Schizosaccharomyces pombe: one gene and its partners. The protein of the gene in region 1 interacts with the protein of each later gene in a pairwise test. Each region holds a gene or a part of one and is shown in the gene's direction. Other genes may lie near its edges.

The links.
Region 2: the proteins of noc201 (region 1) and tea3 interact in a two-hybrid assay, tested with the Schizosaccharomyces pombe proteins (one large-scale study listed by BioGRID).
Region 3: the proteins of noc201 (region 1) and num1 interact in a two-hybrid assay, tested with the Schizosaccharomyces pombe proteins (one large-scale study listed by BioGRID).
Region 4: the proteins of noc201 (region 1) and SPOM_SPBP4H10.16C interact in a two-hybrid assay, tested with the Schizosaccharomyces pombe proteins (one large-scale study listed by BioGRID).

Annotation. Positions count from the first base shown.
Region 1 is NC_003424.3:3,629,843-3,634,429, forward strand, and holds noc201 (Noc complex Noc2 family subunit), read left to right. Parts: upstream 1-1,678; 5' UTR 1,679-1,693; coding exon 1,694-3,817; 3' UTR 3,818-4,032; downstream 4,033-4,587. Other genes in the region: DNA recombination mediator Swi2, read right to left, coding at 1-1,499.
Region 2 is NC_003424.3:3,213,995-3,219,818, reverse strand, and holds tea3 (cell end marker Tea3), read left to right. Parts: upstream 1-1,545; 5' UTR 1,546-1,751; coding exon 1,752-5,129; 3' UTR 5,130-5,306; downstream 5,307-5,824. Other genes in the region: cardiolipin-specific phospholipase Cld1, read left to right, coding at 1-867; DNA-binding transcription factor Thi1, read right to left, coding at 5,513-5,824. UniProt on the Schizosaccharomyces pombe protein: Acts as a cell end marker required for efficient new end take-off (NETO), whereby growth is activated at the cell end to generate bipolarity in extending cells. Also required for proper placement of the septum.
Region 3 is NC_003423.3:896,183-901,917, forward strand, and holds num1 (dynein-anchoring factor Num1), read left to right. Parts: upstream 1-1,873; 5' UTR 1,874-1,892; coding exon 1,893-4,799; 3' UTR 4,800-5,181; downstream 5,182-5,735. Other genes in the region: serine/threonine protein phosphatase PP4 regulatory subunit 3 Psy2, read right to left, coding at 1-181, 240-951.
Region 4 is NC_003423.3:2,905,441-2,909,166, reverse strand, and holds SPOM_SPBP4H10.16C (phosphatase activator), read left to right. Parts: upstream 1-1,927; 5' UTR 1,928-2,042; coding exon 2,043-2,930; 3' UTR 2,931-3,205; downstream 3,206-3,726. Other genes in the region: SPOM_SPBP4H10.18C (uncharacterized protein), read left to right, coding at 1-280; SPOM_SPBP4H10.17C (carboxyl methyl esterase), read left to right, coding at 769-1,794; aco2 (aconitase/ribosomal domain-containing protein), read right to left, coding at 3,286-3,310, 3,351-3,726.

The DNA of each region.
Region 1 (4,587 bases):
TTAATAATATTAGAATGGTTTGAATGATTATTCCCAATTGATAAAACACTGTTTTTGTATGAATTCGGCTTAGTGACATTAGTACGATTTTTGCTATTATTTTCATTCAACACAGCTTCGCCTCTGTTGGAAACCATTTCAGTTTGTACTTTCCCATACAATCCAGTCCAAACATTCTCCTTCCGAGATGCTAGAAGATCGACCCTCTTATGCTTATGGGAGGTAGCAGACTTAGGGGGAGTGTAATCATAGTTAAATTTAATACTTGAATTAGGAATATGCGTGGCTTGTTGTTCAGACTCATTGATGCAAGTTTCATCAAAGTCTTGATCTACACCGTAGGGATTCAACAAATCTTCTTGATGTTGAGATTCAGCTAGTGGTTGCTCAAGTCGACGTGATTGTTTCCGTTCTTCTATTGCCATTTTGTTAATGGTAATTAATGAATTTTCGGAAAAAGTTGGCTCCATATCACTAGGTAATGGAGAAATGTCAAAAATAGTCGGCTCACTAGACAATGGATCTTGACCAGTAGAATCAGAAGTTAAATCAGGGAAGTCTTCATCCTCTCTTGATGGCTCAAAATCAAATTCCTCAGAACAACCATTGTTCCAATCGATATGATGAGGTAACGAGGGCTCTGTATATATACTAGGTTTTATGGTAACCGGAATGACTACAGCATCGAAAACTTTTCTCGGTTTCTTAATCCTTGGAGACAGAGTAGGATATATTTCCTCCTTTTCAGGATACTTCCTCCAGCCTGTAGGTCTTCCCCTTCTTCTTGGCAATCCTTCCTCGAAGTTCAAATCTTTATTAACATACGAATACTTTCTTGGCCTTCCTGCCCTATGCTTCACTCTCGTCATTTCTCTTTTCTTCAGCATAATCAGTGCGGCTTCAGAGTCTGCAAATGCAGGGAATAGATTAGTATCGTCTGTAAAAGCCAAAGATTTAAATATAGGATCGAGATCACACAGCTGGTTCCAACCAAAATCACTTTCCGAATAATTTTGGGTTGATAATTGAGATTTACAACTTTGTGAGCTTAACGGTTCAATAACCTGATTATTCTCGTTAGGAAGAGTAACCAGTGGTTGATTTTCAGATTTATCTTCAAAGTATGCAAAGTCTTTATCATTCGAGGACACATGGCCGCTAATCTCTGGGTGGTCATCACAATGGGCATTGTATTTCACAAAAGAGGGAGATTCAGTTTTTGGATCAGGAGTCGTTGTACAAAAGAAAGAATCTGTGATAAATTCATTATTCATTTCATTTAAAGAAAAATCTCTAGAAAAGGTTCCCTTCATCTGGCTTGCTTCTGTTTGATTCATCGGTTTACCATCAGAATAATAGTATTCTACCGGCTCAAAGAAATGGGATCCAAGGTTTGAGCCGACGCCCTTTCCTTGCTCAAACCTTTCATTGTCGTTAGAGGAAATACTTTCAGATCCGGTGTTTACTGGTATCGACTCCTGCTTTTTGTTCACATTCATAAGGCCTATAAGGTTTCTCACGATTCTCAAAAAGCAAAATTCTGTTCAAAGCAATATACATTTAATAAATTTGCCGGAGTATGATTATTAAGGACATATCTTTGGTGTGGAAATTGTGAAGAAATTTGGACTGAGTATGGTGGGCACTAATTCTTGAAGGAGGTATTCTAACAACCTCTGTGCACATACCACACATGGTGAAGTTATCTTCCATTATAAAAGCCAGAAAAGCTAATGCTTTGGCTAAAAAGAATGACAAAATAAAAAAGAAAGACACTGATAAAGGCATACGACAAAAGCATTCTAAAAAGGAGGGAAAAGATGAAACATTGAAAAGAGACGTAGAAAAGTTTATTCAAAACGTGAATAGCGAAGACACCCCTTCTGAAGATGACTCCATGTCAATGGATGCTTTTTTGGAAGGCGGATTTGAAGAATTAGACTCTGCGAATTCGAATGATGCAGGTTCCTCAAGAAAAAGAAAAAATTTGCCAAATGAAAATACACAAGACTCTACCTCTGAATCATCGGAAGAAGAAGAGGATGGCTTGGAATCTTATCAAAAGCAATTGGAAGGCCTAAAGGAAAAGGATCCAGAATTTTACAAGTTCCTTGAGCAGAATGACCAAGACTTGCTTGAATTCAACGCCGCTGAAACAGACGCAATGGCGAAGGAAATTGATGAGAATGAACGTTTGAAATCTTCTAGCGGAAAAATCGTTCTGACAAGTGATACAATTCAACAATGGCAAAAGCTTTTGGAGACGAACCATTCATTGACCACACTACAAAAGGTCGTGCAAGCGTTTAAGGCAGCAGCATTCTTAAATGAGGAGGAGGCTGAAGATTTGAAATACACTATTAGCGATTCAAAAGTTTTCAATGACCTCTTGTTGTTAGCCATCCAGTACGTCCCCAAAGTGTTGAATTATCATGTTCCCATTCAAGAGGATGCGAAAGGAAAAAAATTTATAAACACTGATTCAAAGGTGCTTCCGAAGCTACGCCCTGTGTTAAAATCCTATGGATTTTCGATTTTACGTTTGCTAGAAGGGATGACCGATGCCAAGAATATCTCTTTACTACTTCGGGAAGCTCAGAATGTATTGCCTTATATGATTACCTATCGAAAATTCCTTAAACAGTTTACACAGGCAACTGTTGAAGTATGGAGTTCGACTCGTGATGACAGCGTTCGGTTTTCAGCTGTTGTATTGCTTCGTACATTATGCTTGACAGCTGACATAACTCTGCTGGAATTCGTTTTAAAAGAGGTTTATCTTGGTATGGCTCGACAATCAGCTTACACTACCGTTCATACACTCGATAAAATTAATTTCCTGAAAAATAGTGCTGTTAATCTTTTTTTATTGGACGCTGAATCATGTTATTTAATCGGATTCCGTTACATTCGACAACTTGCTATTACTCTTCGTAACACCATTCATCAACCTAGTAAGGATTCTCGAAAGCCTGTTCAAAGCTGGAGTTATGTGCATTCTCTAGACTTTTGGGCTCGTTTATTGAGTCAAGCAGCCTGGTTGAGTAGAGAAAAGGGAGTTGCTTCAGAATTACAATCTTTGGTCTATCCTTTAGTCCAAATAGCCCTTGGAGTTATAATGAGTTCACCGTCATCGCAATTATTTCCAATGAGATTTCACATCATCCGAAGTCTAATTTACTTATCGCGCCATACTGGTGTGTTTATCCCTCTTGCACCTTCGCTATTCGAGGTCTTGGATTCTTCTTATGTGTCAAGAAAAGCCAAAGCTAGTACGCTTAAGCCATTGGATTTTGACGTTGAGTTGCGTGCATCTTCGTCATACTTAAGAACAAAGGTCTACCAGGACGGTTTAATTGATCAATTATTGGAACTCTTGAGCGAATATTATGTTTTATATGCCACTGACATTTCATTCCCTGAGCTCGTTATACCCGCTATTGTCAGAAGTAAGCGATTTGCTAAAAGAAGCAAAAATGCTAAACTTAATCGTGGATTGTTGACTTTGGTGAATCGCCTTGAACAACAATCAAAGTTTATGACTGAGAAGCGAAATCAACAGAAGTTTGCTCCCATTGATTCCGATTCCGTAGAACAGTTTGCACAGACAATAGATTGGCAGCAAACGCCTCTTGGTATTTATGTTGTAACGCAACGCCAAACCAGAGAAGAGCAAAGAAAACTCATTCGTGAATCAGTTCAGCAAGATCAAGAACATAAGGAGCAAATGCGGCAGAAAAAGAAACAAGCGCTCAAAAGTGATGATATTGAATTGGATGACCTGAGTGAAGAAGAAGCAGAGGATATCGATGAGTAATTATTGGTGCCTTGTACGAAATGTTTTTAAGATAATCTGTTTGACAGTTCAGTTTAGGAAATTCGTGCTTTGTAAAAATTATTAGATAAACGTCAAGAGTATATCTCTTTCGGTCTTGGGTTTTTAATTAGGAGATACAAAAAGAAAATATATTGGGTTTGGTTCAATTTAGTTTACTTTATTTGGTATAATATATTTTGAATTTATTGTTTTTTAACCTTAAGTAAGTGATAGAGTATAGCAGTGTATCAATGTAGGTTTTCCAGGTTATACATTTCCAAACATATAAATACTTTTTGACAGGCTTTTATAAATAGACTTGCTTAATCTCTTGCAATATAAGTAATGGTTGTCAAATATAATGGTTTAATATATTACCACATGCGACAACGATGGCAACACGTCAATTTGTATCAAGTATGTCCATTGTTTTCAATTTATCTTCATAATCATTGACCAACCCAAATTGCGGGAAAAAATACTTCCCTACTGAATACACTCAATAAAACAATAACTGGTATGTAGTGATTGATCATCATAAACCATTTTTCAAAAGAAAACCTAATTGATCGATTTTATTGCCTTTTTGTAGTATTGTTCTACGCAGTTTTTCTTACTACGAACTATTCTTCTGCACTGATAACAAGCTACACTTAAGGGCTGCATTCAAGATTTCTTGACTATATAATTTATAAACTAGACATGTTTAATGTCTACGGCCATACCTAGGCGAAAACACCAGTTCCCGTCCGATCACTGCAGTTAAGCGT
Region 2 (5,824 bases), 420 kb from region 1:
GATATCAAGGGGCAAACCGCTTCAGAGAAGGTCGAAGAAACAGAGAGGTTTTTCACTGAGTCATTAGAAACATGGAGAATCGGTCATGGTATCGAGAAAATGATCCTTGTGGGCCATAGTATGGGAGGTTATTTGTCTGCTGTCTACGCCATGCAATATCCGGAACGTGTTGAGAAACTCTTACTAGTTAGTCCAGTTGCCATTCCTGAAAACCCTTTTGCAAGCAACGATGATGCGGAAGTTTACAATTCCGTTGCTTCCTCTGCTGTGCATGCTGTTATGGATGAACCTCCTTTAAGTAATGTTACTAATGAGGTTCTGCAAACCCAAGAGGAAACTACAGGTTTAGAGCCTTCCCGGCCAAGCAAGCCAAAGAATCCTCTTCCAAGATTTATCACCTTCTTATGGGAGCAAAATGTTACACCATTTTCTCTACTTCGTTTAAGCGGGCCTTTAGGTCCTAAACTAATGAGTTTTTGGTCTAGCAGAAGGTTTTCAACGCTTCCCCCGGAAACGTTTAGGGCATTACATAATTACTGCTACTCAATATTTCGTCTCAAGGGTTCCAGCGAGTATGCACTTGGCAATTTGCTCGCTCCCGGAGCTTTCGCTAGACGATGTATTATGAATCGCTTGCGCATGTTGAAGTGTCGAACTATATTCATGTATGGAGATAAAGATTGGATGGATGATGTTGCTGGTTTAGAAGCGACAAACAGATTGAAGGAGATGAATATTGAGGCGGAGCACCACATAATTTCAAATGCTGGTCACCATTGCTATCTTGATAACCCTGAAGATTTTAATGAGATTGTACTAAAGGAGATACGAATGAGTTTACGTTCTTTTTCTTCGATTTCAGAGTAAATTTTTATTTTTTATGCCCTTCGCTTAGTGCTTCATTATTTTTATTTATTCTTTCTTGTCCTGCAAACTATCCCATGTGATGCTGTTATAGACCTCATTCATTAATTTATACTACACATTATTCTTTGGATTCCAATTGAACGACTTTTTTTTACCTAACTTTTTATCGGTCCATTTTGAATCGATTTTTATTGCATTGACGCTCATTTGCTTCATTTATCGCAATTTTATTTTTTTGTCCGATTACTTGTCCAGCATGTGTTTTCAAATGTTTTATTTTTAAAATGTGCCTTATAAATCAAATTTTGTAATATTTGTAGGCCATTTACTACAATTAGCTTATAAAGTAAATAACAGTTTTTGTGGTTGTCTATTTTAAATTCTATCCTATAGAGTAATTGGAAAAATACATTTTTCTTGCTCTAAGCTTTTCAAACGTGAAGCATATTTCGTACTTCTAAATTTCAATTCAAACAGAGCATTCAACGGTAATGTATACTATTGCGCTTAAACTTGTATCTACTCTCCCTTCTTTATGTTTAATGAAGATATAAATTATAAACATCATACAGTATTACAAAAATTTATTGTAGGGTATTGCAATTGTATTCGTTGTTCTAAGACTTCTCTACTCTAAGTTGCCGTTTCCTGATGGACTGTGTGTTTCCATTACCCTCCACAAGTTATGCTCTTTTCATATTATTTCGAAAATTTTACTTTTTAATTCTTTTTTAAAACTAAAATATATATTTTTTCTATTTTATTTCTTTTTTAAGCGTAAAAACCGAACCTTTTAAAAAACTCCTTGGATTAAACTTTCGCTTTGATTACCATCTGCAACTGCAAAACCAGTAAGCGATTTTGCAAGGTAAAGATCGCAATACATGGTTCAAAAGGTTTTAAGCCGTCAATCGGATAACTCTCAGGATGTGTCTGCTGAACAGCTTGATGTAGTGGAATCCGGTAGCATTGATCAGCAAAATATACGTGCATGGGTTGTTCGCAAAGTCAAAGAAAATGATAAAAGGACATCTACGAACCAAAGTTTTAAATGGGAAGCTGTAAAACCGGCTTCTTGTCTAGATGCTGCGAATGAAAAATTCATGTACTTACATGGAGGACGAGAAAAATCTGGTATTTCAAACTCTTTGTTTAAGTTGGACCTGGATTCATGCACGGTTTATTCTCACAATAGAGGGGAAGACAATGATTCTCCTGCTCGAGTTGGTCATTCTATCGTTTGTTCTGCTGACACTATTTATCTTTTCGGAGGATGCGACTCAGAAACAGATTCCACATTTGAAGTTGGCGATAATTCATTGTACGCATACAATTTCAAGAGTAATCAATGGAATTTGGTTTCAACACAGTCCCCCTTACCATCGCCTCGCACTGGACATTCTATGTTGTTAGTTGACTCTAAATTATGGATATTTGGGGGTGAATGTCAAGGAAAATATTTGAATGATATACATTTGTTTGATACCAAAGGGGTTGATCGGAGGACGCAATCAGAACTCAAGCAAAAGGCAAATGCAAATAATGTTGAAAAGGCTAATATGGAATTTGATGAGACTGATTGGTCATGGGAAACACCGTTTTTGCATAGCTCATCCCCTCCACCTCGTTCAAATCACTCAGTTACTCTTGTCCAAGGAAAAATATTTGTACATGGAGGGCATAATGATACTGGTCCATTAAGTGATCTTTGGCTTTTTGATTTAGAAACACTTTCATGGACCGAGGTTCGTTCTATAGGAAGATTTCCAGGTCCGCGGGAAGGTCATCAAGCTACTACAATAGATGACACGGTTTACATTTATGGTGGTCGTGATAATAAAGGGTTGATACTCAACGAGCTTTGGGCTTTTAATTATAGTCAACAGCGGTGGTCCTTAGTCTCAAATCCGATCCCTATTTTGCTTTCTGATTCATCTTCATACAAAATTGTTTCAAAAAACAATCATATTTTACTATTATATCTTAATGCACTTGACGCTCCTAAGCAACTGTTATGTTATGAAGCAGATCCCAAAAATTTGTATTGGGATAAGGATAAATTTTCTGATATTCCTGTTCTTCAGCATATTAGCATGAAACCTTCAAATGCTTCAAACCACACGGTTTCTCTTGGTTACCTAAACGACCGTCCTAATCATTCCAAAAAGAATTCTGTGACATCCACCTCGTCTAGTCAATTTAACAATTTTTTGGAGCAAAATCAAAAAGCCGTAAGATCAGCTAGGCATCGGCACTATGCTAGCTTGGATGAACAAGGATTACATTCTTTGAGAAACCTTAGTAAAACCTCTGGAATGAATCATTCAGCAGATTTCTCTCTTCACGAGTTTGGGCAAGCTGACCCCTTTGCTTACGAAATTGAGAAACCTATTGCGTCTCTTCCTTTACCTAATGGAAACGATACTATTTCTAGGTCTTCCGAATCTTCATCTCCAATCAACGAAAGTGAAAGTAATTCTCTGCTTAAACTCCAATCAGATTTTAAGTTTTCTAATTCTGATGATCGTGTAGCTTGGCTTGAGGAGCAACTGTTATATTGTATGCAACAAGGCTATACTCTCAAACCTCCTAACCTGTTTCAACACGTTGATGAAAAATTGAGGCTTGAGAAAAAAGAGCAGCTCAGTTATTTGGAAATACTGAAGGTGATTGAGCAAATGCTTGAATCTAATGAACAAAAGTTTAAAAAGCAAATCGTTAGCCTAGCATCTGAAAACGCAAAATTGGCTGCTCAGAGAGATGCTGCCGTGGAAAATGCAAATTATTCACGTTCACTGATCCAGAAAAAGACAACGGACGAAACTGTTGGATCTTTAATAGAAAAAGTTGGAAAGTTAGAGTACGAAGTTCAAGGGACTCTTGAAGAGGCAACCTCTTATTATCAAAAAAATACTGAACTTCAACAGTTATTGAAGCAAAATGAATCCGCTTCTGAACTCTTAAAATCTCGAAATGAGAAACTTTGTGTAGATTATGATAAACTTCGTAGTGTGTTTGAAGAAGATTCATCAAAAATACTATCTTTACAAAAAGAAAATGAAAACCTACAATCACAGATATTGCAAATTTCAGAAGAGTTAGTCGATTATCGTTCTCGTTGCGAGGCTTTGGAGTATGGAAATTATGAGCTGGAAACGAAGCTAATTGAGATGCATGATCGAGTGGAGATGCAGACAAATGTGATTGAAGCATCCGCTAGTGCTCTTGATGTGTCCAATACTGCCATATTGTCTTTTGAAGATTCGCTCCGTAGAGAAAGGGATGAGAAAAGTACGTTGCAACAGAAGTGCTTAAATTTACAGTACGAATATGAGAATGTTCGGATTGAGTTGGAAAATTTGCAATCTCGTGCGCTAGAGTTGGAGTCAGCCTTAGAACAATCAGTGTCTGATGCTAAATACTCGAAAGCTATAATGCAAAGCGGATTATCAAAGTTATTATCTTCTATTAACGAAAATAAAGATAATCTTAAAGAGTTTTCGAAGTCGAAACAAAAGATCTCCTACTTGGAGTCTCAGCTAGAAGGGCTTCACGAGTTGTTACGTGAGTCCCAGAGACTTTGTGAGGGTCGCACTAAAGAGCTACTAAATTCTCAGCAAAAGCTCTATGATCTAAAGCATTCATATTCCTCTGTAATGACAGAGAAAAGTAAACTTTCTGATCAGGTCAATGATCTTACCGAGCAAGCAAAAATTACTCAGCGTAAGCTCTCTGAGGTACAAATTGCATTGGCTGATTCAAAAATGAATCAACAGTTATCAGGAAAGGACTCTACTGACGTTCATCTTCCTACGGACTTTTCAGCTTCCTCCTCTCCCTTAAGATCATACTTTAACGAAGAGGATTCATTCAATAATGCTAGTGCTGCACATAGTTCAAAAGAATCTGACATACCTTCTGGTGGTGTGTTTACAAAATATCGTAATCATTTTGGTAATTTGATGACATCTGAAGAAACAAAAGCCCCGGATAACAATGATTTACATAAAAGACTTTCTGATGTTATCAACAGTCAGCAAAAATTTTTGTCTTTGTCCCCTCAGGTATCTAAAGATTATTATGATGTTCGCTCAAAACTAAATGATACCGCGGGCTCATTTTCAGGTGAAGAAATGCGTGCAATTGATGATAATTACTATGCCAGTCGTATTAAGCAACTGGAGGATGATTATCAAAAAGCCATAACATATGCCAATTGCTCAGATGAGTCATTTCAGCAGCTTAGTCATTCATTTATGTAACTCTATTCATCAACTAAGGATTTTTTATCTCTTTTTTGGTTTGTACAATTTTCTTAATAATTTTTTGAAGTGGTTTGATTTTTTCTACTTAATCTCAAGTCGTTTGACTACGTATGTAAATTACCACTATATTTAACAATAAAATACGCAATTATTTCTACTGCATTTACATTGACTCATTTATATTTTAAAAAGTAATGAAATTTAATTAACTTTTAAAAAGTAAGAGAAAATTTAAAGTATTAGATTGATGAGGATACTCTCAAGTGCAAATTACTAAACTGGTATTAAATGCTAATTCCTTAACCACGCGAACAAAGCATATGATGAATTACGTAGAAATAATTAAAACAAACAAAGACCTGCAAAAAACCATTAAAGATTCATCCATTTTTTTCAAGGGTCAAATTTGAAGTTTGCTCTGCAGTATGCGAAGACTGCTCAGAGACATTAGTAGGGCCTAGCAGTTCCGTCCAACTCAAAAACGTAGGAGCCGTCCATTGTTTATCAACTTCCAAATTGAGAACTGGATCCGGTAGAAAAGTTTCAGGTGTGAGCAAACTGGGTTGGTTACTAACATAACTTTTGTTTAGACCCGGAACATTATAGAGAGATGATGTTTGGTCAAAAGGTTGGAATGCTTCGTTTGGAGTACTATTACTACCATTTGAGCTTTCTCCTGTAAGCTTAAAGGT
Region 3 (5,735 bases), on another chromosome or scaffold:
AGAATCCGTGGATCCTGAATGGGAACCACCTGCTTAAACTTTTTGGAATCCATTAAATATTCCCGATGGTTCGCTTTGATATTGGGGAATTCCGGATCGTATTCGAGAATACCAGCTACACACATTAGCTTTTCATCATTAGAGAACAACGATTCGAGTAAAGGGGCGTCGTTCAATTGCACTGACAGCGATTAGCAAGGATTTAACGAATCTAAAAAGTATAAAGTAGATTAACATACCAAAGCTTTTTATTATGGAACACAATCGATGAAGGTCATCTGTATTCTCTAGATCCTCACACAGAGGAAAAAGTTCAATAAGTCTATCAATATAATTTTCATTTGAAACATAACGAACCAAACTATCTCTTGATTGAATAGACTGCATATATCCATATACTGCTTCTTCAATTTCTTTTAAATTAGCAAGCTCTGGGGCTGGAAGATCGACCGTGTTTAGGTAGTTTTCATTAAGCGCCCCCTCATCCGTCAATATATCATCGTTGGAGTAACTTCTAGTTACCGATGATATTGCCTTTTGAACATTTGCTAAAAACATCCACATGTCTATACAACCGCTAGATTCTTGAAAGCTTAAAGCAAGATCAGTACCATTCAATTCTTGCCAGACTATGAGAGTTTCTTCTTGACGGCTGTATATATCTTCCGCAATCAATTGTGTTTTCAAAAGGATGGTTTCATTATCAGCTTCTGAACGCACAATGAAATAAGCCAACGGTCCCTCTATTTTTCCATCGCAATAACCGGTGCCACAGTCTACCCAGTTTTCATCTTCCATTTCGTACACTTTTACACGTCTGGGAATCGATGGCACTTCGATCTTCTGCAATGCAGCTGCAATTGCTTCGTCTAATTCCTCTTCTTCATTTTCTCCATCTGAAATTTCATCAATATTATTATTTAAATCTTCCTCTTCCTTCGTAGAATCCATTTCTACGGCGGATTAAGGGTAGACGTCAGCTTCGAATTTACGACGTTGGCGTTCGTCACCAAATTTTCAAAAGTGAAGACGAAATTCAAACGTGGTGGTGAATGAATGCAATACCGTAGATTGCACCAAGATTGTAATTATTAATAAATGTATTTCTCATTAAATGGCAATGCCGCTTTACTTAATTATTTGGTTTGCCTAAAATATAACAAATAGATTTGTTAAGCAGTGTACTATGTATATTTCACGTGCATAATTTTGAAGTGTTATGGCAGAATTATGTTCTTTATAGAGTCAAATAACTATTATATACGTGATCGTGGTGCTTTCAGTCACTATTTTTCATTGTAATTCGGTATCTGTTTACAACAATATCATTAACGGACGTTATGCATTTTAACGATGAGTACTTCACCGCTCGGTGTATATGCTGTAATCAATCCTTATATCGAGTTGTGTTTTAAACGTTTTATACTGTCTACAATTAGCATTTAAATCTTTTCGAAATAGTAAATAAACTAAATATGAATATAAATAAAGTTAATTATTGTCTAAACACATGTGTAGCCTCGTCAAATCAATTTTTTGCAAGTCAATCATGAGGCTCAGGGTACATTTGTAAAGTAATAGTTAATTTTTAAGTACAAACTAATGGTATTTATACCGATATATATATTGAAAGCTGCTAAAGCTTCGCTAGATATTCAAGTACTCTAGCAAATGCATCAATATAAATACAGTTTTTTTGCTTTTACTAAGTTTTATTGTTAAAGCGTAATACGAGAAATTTGCCAAATGAGAACACGAATTGAATTGATATAATTCCAGAAATAAAAATTATGTATTCAAGACGATGACTGTTGCGATATGCATGCTTACGAGTTTATCGATATATAAAAGACAAAGAGAGTTGAGCTTACCAAAACATATACTGATCCTTCATGGAGAAAAAACAAGATAACGAGGTGGAATTATATTCAATTGATTTAAAAAATAGAAATGAAAGTGCAAAAATAAAGCTTGCTTATGCGAAAGCGTTAGAGGAAAGCATTCTTTGTGAAACACGAAAAATCGAACAAGAAATTAAAGACCAAGTGGTTCAAAAGGAAAATAAAACATATTTTAATAACAAATTTGATAATCGATATAAATTACGCGACTTGGAAAAAAATTTAGCGGAGGAGGAGGTGAGAATTACGGAGATGCTTACTATTCAACGTCAAGACATTGCAATTGAAAGAAGGAAGAACACAAATTGCTTCAGTGAGTCTTCTCAAGTAGATCAATATTCAGTTACTGAAACCAATCTACAATATGCTACTAACATTGGCTTAAACCTTCTGCAACAGTTGCGGTATTTAAGGCTGCAACTGTCAGAGAAAGAAGATTTGCATAAAAAGTTGTCAGTGGATAATGCCCATTTAATCAAGCAACTTGATCTACTTTCTTCAAACATGAAAACACTTATGAAAGAGAAGACTAAGGTGCAAGGACAAAGGGATTTGCTTGAACAAAGACTACAAGGATTAATGAAAAAATTGACAGAAGTAGAGTCTTTGACCGTTTCACTTAACGATGAGAAGAACAAACTGACATTGGAATTAACAAATTTAAGAATTTGCCTTCACGAGCTTCAACTGAATGCCGAAAAAGGCGAAACTATAGATGAAAGTGAAGATTCTAAAAATACTTTGGTAACTGAGGATGAAAACGACGATTCTGTATTTTTGGAGTCTTCCTCGGATAAGTATTTTGATAGTTCATCTTTTGATGCGGAGCAAGAAGAGAAACACGATTTTCCAATAGATCCTTTTTTGTCGTTGGAATCCAATGTACAAACTTCGGTATCTCAATCATCGGCCGTTCTCAAATCCATCAATTTAGCAAAACAGGAGTTAGTGAGTGTAAATCATTTGGTAGCTGACGATACTAAAACACCGTCTCCAAATTTATCATCGGAAATAATTGAAAACACAAAAGCTGACATAAAGAAATCAATCAGGTCTCTGAACAAGGCAGTATCACCAGAAAACTCTATAGACATCGAAGATGAAACCGACAGAGATGATGAGTTTATTTGCTTCCTTTTGTCTTATCAGCAACTACAAAAGGCGCTGAAAAGTAACTTGGGCCTTTTTCAGCTTTCTTGCTTGTACCCACTTTCTCTGAATCATCTTATTCAGTCATTCTTTCAATCTCTCACCTCTCAAATTTCAATAAAAGATATTGACTCAAAAAATAAACAAGTCATTAAACTTTTCAAACCGACTAAAAGCTCAGATCGCCAGGAAATTTTTGAATTGGCTCAATTTGAACCTCGCCAAAAATTTCCTATAGATACGAATTCTTCAAAATGCGACATGTCTGCAAGTACTGAGATGCATTTGAAAGATACTGAAAAATTTGCTAATTTCAAACTAAAAGAAAACATTTTAAATCATTCTTCTATTTACGAACGTGATGTTTCTTACCTGCCTGCATTAAACAAAGGTGGACGTGAAAATTATTTAAACAATCGCGTCTCCTCTTATAGGCTTGTTAAACCTATTTTAAATTCCTATGGAAATCATGTATTAAACCGTATACAACATGATATTCTGGAGAATCACTTCTGTTGTCTAAAAAATGTCAAAGACTTTGTATGTGGTGCAAATACAATCTCCATGCAGTGGAATCTGCAAAAGAATATGGAATTTATCAGCTCTGTTTTTTCCTTAATAAAAAATGAAGTAAATGACACATCAGCTAATAGTGTCATTCTAAGGACCGATGCGCTTTCAAATGTTGCTACCACGAGGTTGAAAAGAAAATTAACTAGCGCTATTATTGACTGCTCGATTCCTCGTCGGAGGTTGCGCCACTATAGTAATCCAGAAATAGCTGAATTTAAGAATTTTAGATTATCTACGGATATTTCCCACAGTAATGTTAGGAATTCGAAAAAGCTATGTTCCAATGGATCTATGAATTGTATGAGGCAAGGCAAGGCAGTTTTTCCTCGAAAGATCCCATATCAAGAGCATGACTGGGAACAATGGGAAAAAATTGCTCAATCCTCGATGTTTAAGAATCGTTCAATTGCTTCACGTCAATCATTGGAAACTTCTGATGTTACTTTGGACATTAATATGTCTTCAAGACATTCAAACGGAACTTCCTCAATGCTTTTCAAAGACTTTACAAAACATAATAATTGGGAGGCGTCAACTTATCCGTCTGCACCTAAGAATACTCGTACTTATCCAACAGCTGAAGTTGAAAAAACTCGGCATGATTCCTCGCAATCAGCACGTCAATTGAAAGCAAGAAGTACGGCTACGACGATTTCTATTTCCTTGTCGACGGTGTCAGACGTATTCACCTTACCTCGCAATAATCTCAAAAGCAAAACAAATACGAAAAAATGCAGAGATAATTTGAATCTATCAGGTTTATCTTCTTCAACTTGTAATGCAAATTCTGTGAACAAATTGATGAAACATGTCATGATGGGAAACGAAATGATGAAGTACCCGAGAAGTGAGAGTTTCAAAATGTTTAAAAAGAGTCATTGGCGCTATTTTTGGATTAACCCGCATTGTGAAATGCTGTGCTGGTCTAAAACAAATCCATTTATTGAAAAAGGAAGGAAAAATCAAGTCAAGTCTGTGAAAATTAAGGGAATGACTATTATAAAAGCCCCAGATGCCTTAAAGAACGCCAATTTACATAATGAAGTTATTGTGATGCAGACAACTGATAAGCCCATCGTCTTAAAAGCGAAAAGCAAGAAAATTCACAATATCTGGGTTCAAGCTATCAAACAAATAAATCATAAGGCTATCTTTGATACTAAGCCCGGCATTTAAGCATGTTTCAGTCATTGCTTATAAGTTTTAAAGTAAACTGTTTCAATATTCCCTAACAACTTTTAAAGTTATACCAATTGTTTTTATTAAGCGGCATCAAATAGAAAGATATTAAACCACTGTAAACAACTAAGAATCAAATGTCTTAATCAGTTTTGTAAATGAGGTTTATACGATCAAGCTTTATTGCAATTCGACATGCACTAATGAGGATGATATACTTTCCTATTTTGTCGAAAAAATTGCTCTTTCTATACAATTCATTTTTAATCAATCAATTTATCATACGAGACATTTAAATAGCAAACAAAAGACGACTAACGTTTAAAGGTAACATCGATAATGTTAGTTTTATCAAAACAAATTATCCCGTATAAGCAAAAGAAGATTCAGACTTAACCTTGACGGAGTTTTATGTGCAAAGAATTAAACATTGCTATTACTGGTAAACATAACAAATCTGGGCGACTTTCAATTACTGAATGAATAATAAGCAACCTGTTAAATGATTTTAGTGCCCAGATGCACTTTCCGTGTATTACCCCAAGAACTTTTAGCGAAAGTTAAAAAGAGCACAATATATCTGGCTAGTTATTTTACTGCATCGTTACATCATGTTAAAACTATTAGAGCTTACCATACAAAAACTGAAAACGTCACATAATTAACTCGGTACTACTAATTAGGTAAACCGTGCTTTTGCTCATTCCCTGTGGTGTGTCTCTTCGATTCAATTTTGTAGATTGTTTTCATTTTCCTTATTCCTTTCTTTTTTTAAGAGGGGTTTGACAGATACACAGCATTTCCAATTCTAAAAATTACTCATTTTAACAATTGCCATTGCTTTTATTCAAAGGATCAGCTAATTAAGTTCCTTTTTCAATAAGGGAGAAGGATATATTGGATTCTTGATTCCCAACGGTTAAAGAAATCATC
Region 4 (3,726 bases), on another chromosome or scaffold:
AAAGTCAATCTTGTTAAAGAAAAGAAATCAAGATGAAACTCAACTGACTACTGAGGAGGATTTTTCTGCCAATAATGATTCTACCGCAAAAATAGAGACCAGTATCCACGACCACAGAGATATTTCTAGAATAACACCTTTTGAACTTCCTTTTGTTAATCCAAAGCTGTTTGCTAGCTTTACTCCAATGTCGGTAGCTCTACCAGCTGGACGATTACTACTAATTAAACAGTTGCAAGAGAAATCTACCCAATCATCTTCTATGACAGGTCTCAAATAAAACCAGCTTATTGCCAAAAGTAGATAATACATTCATCTACTCATATTTTTGTCTCATACTAGCATAAAAAGTATAAATTAATTATGATTTTCAATCTTACTTTTACCATTGTATTTTAGTCACATTTGTCTGTAAGGAAAAATAGCGTTGGTGTAAAGCGAGGTAACATATTTAAATGTTACGTCGTTAATTTTTTTACGTAGGCGATGGAAGGCGTGTAAATCATTTGAGCATTGAGGAATCCGCAGTAAGTACAGGAAACTTCCACTGCATATTATTTACTCAACTTAGCTACCTGGGGAATACACATTGTTTGTTTTAAAATTTATCGATTTCAGAATTACATTGAATTAATTTTTTTTTTTTTCAATCAGGTCCGTTTCTGCTTCTGGGATTGTATATTCTATCTTCATAAAACCAACGAGGAATTCGTGTGAACTATTTATAGTGCTGCGTGTAAGCTAAAAAAGATATTATAATACTTTATAATGGCATTTCGTAAAGAAGAACTCAGTCAAACACTCTATGAGAATGAATCTGAGCAATCATCCGAAACCAAGGAACTAATGTTAAATAATGAAGAGAGTTTAAGCGATTGGCGAAATTACTTTGATGAAAAGTTAACAATTCCTGGTGAAAGTGGGGCTTTGAATGGGACTATCAATGGGTACTTAACACTTCCACAACCAGATGGTTGCTTACTTGTTTTGCAACACGGTGCTGGCTCAAGTGCCATGTCATTTGCACCGGTTACACAAGAGCTCTTGAGTAATTCAGATAATAAGGTTGGTTTTTTAGCGTTGGACCTTCGAGCTCATGGAGAAACAACGTTAGAACCCGAATCAGATATGAGCTTGGAAACATTATCTAAGGACTTTACTCACGCAGTCTCCTATGTTCAACGTATGTTTGAGCTTGATGAAAAAATCATTTTGGTCGGACATAGCTTAGGAGGTGCCATTTGTGCTTACTGTGCTTTTCAAAAAACTATTCCCAATACTTCTGGACTTGTTGTCATTGATGTGGTTGAAGGGACTGCGATGGAAGCATTGGGTTTTATGAAAACGTACCTCTCTAATCGTCCTACTAGCTTTAAATCAATTGATGATGCAATTTCTTGGCATATCAAGACTTTAGTTACTAGAAACAGATTATCGGCCTGTATTACAGTTCCTTCACTTCTCGTTCAGCAGGAAGATGGCACATTCGTTTGGCGAACCGATCTTTACAAAACATCGCCGTATTGGATGGACTGGTTTAAGGGTTTAAGTGACAAATTCCTAAGAGCACCATATGGAAGGATGCTTATTGTCGCTGGTACCGATCGTCTAGATAAAACGTTAACAATTGGACAAATGCAAGGAAAATATCAACTTGAGATTCTTCCTGAAACTGGTCATTTTGTTCATGAAGATGTTCCCGCTAAGATTTCCTCTCTACTTTTAAATTTTTGGCATCGCAATCAACCTTTGGTTTTACCTCCCAAAGTTGGTGCTACTCCTGTTCTACAGTAATCTTAATGATTTAACGAACTTTATTATACACTAAGAAAAATGCGTTATATAGTGGAGTATGTATGGTCATATAACGTTGTGCTGTGCAGGTTGCGTAGGCATCGATATCAAAGGCACCGCTTTCATAGTACCTATAAGTACGTTGCATTCGCATATATGATTGTATCTTTATTTATCATTACCCTTGATTAAAAAATAATTTATTTTATTGAAACTTCTCTTTTAAACACTCGAATTTTTGTGCCTTCATGTCTGTGATAACTCAGGCTCAGGAAATACCTACTGTAGCAGCCAATCCCGATTTCAATTATGAAGGAGATCCTATTATTATTCAATTATGCGATCGTGACACAGTATTTGAATTGAGTAGAGATCAGCTTTTAGGCCTCCCGGAATCCATCTTGATGTGTTTATTTCCTAGAGGCCTGTTGTTGGATTATGAGATTCAAGAATGCCAACTGACTCAAAGGCCATTAATATTTCAAACAGCTGACTTTGATCCTTCATTACTTCAGTACATATTAAATTATTTTCAAATGGCCGAAAATCGTACCGCTAATGATGAAATTGCATTATCACCACCTCCACCTTCTTTTCCTGGAAAATGTGGTATAATTCTGTTAAAAGAAGACATTGAGTTTTTTATCCTCCCACCCATTTCACCAACCACCAATATTGCCATTGAAGTTAGTCCGAACGATTTGCTTAAACTAAAACAACGTGTAGCCCAACGATTGCTGCAACAAAAGAAGATCTTTGATTGTTTACATCTCGAAAACTCCACCTCAGAAGGTTCCGCTGAAAAGAACCTTGTACGCATGCTTTGCTACAGCGGATTTCACGAAGATGACGAATGGAAACGGCGAATACAAGAACCACATCGCGCTTGTATTACTTCAGTCACTTTGACCAACCTAGATTTTAGTGCAGATCAGGGCCCTGTCTCTGATCCTGAATATTTTCCTGTTTATCACAAGTTGCTCCTCTTTTGGCAGAAACCAGCTCGGAAGTGTTGGTGGGATTCTTCTACCAGTATCACCTACAATGGGATCGAGTTTGCAACTTGGGTAAGAAGAGTTTGGACGTTGGAACTTGCTGTATTAGGCGCTAATACGTACGAGACTGCAGCGGTTTAAGTACAGGGTATGTTTCAAAGTTTAAAAGCATTTTTTCTCTTTTGTGTTTTTGTTGTTTTTGTTGTTTTTGTTATTCCTCTTTATTTTTAAATGAGCAAGAATTATTTTTGCGCAGCAATTACCTACTTAATCCTTGATTTGTAATTGCTTAAATTAGATTTGTACTCCTCCTACGAGTTTTATTATTTCTTGATCCTCTCTGAAATTTTTTTTATTATTTTATTGAACAACGTTCAGTATTACTTGTCACTATTTCCCTTAATACACAAAATTATTATATTAATTTACAAAATGTTTTAGTTGTCAGCAGCATACATGGGTGAAGTAGAAGACTAGATAAAAAGAAGAAAGGGAATTAGTTCAGTTTGAGTTCCGTAACCCTGGATGATTAGTAACATGATAGAATTGCTGCACACTTACCTTAAAATAGTATACGTTTGTTTATGTTTCATTACACGATCATGACGATGACGACGCTTGTGTTTTACTCGAACACTTAATGCGCTTTTAGGGAATGATAATACAACCGCTTCAATCGTAAACAATGAAGGGTCTACATACGGGTTACCAAAGAGAGTAAAATCTCTTGAGCCGAAGGAAGCGATTTTATCAAGTCGTATCGTATCACCAACCTGGACACCTTTCAAGTGAAAAGGCAATCCTAGTTGATCTCCTTTGGCTATAACAAAATGACGATTAAATATATACGCATCAGCATAGTGGTCAGGTTGTTGTTTTATTGAATCTATAACCTTTTGATTTACCACGCCAGAATGGGCCTTTTCGCGAATCAAAT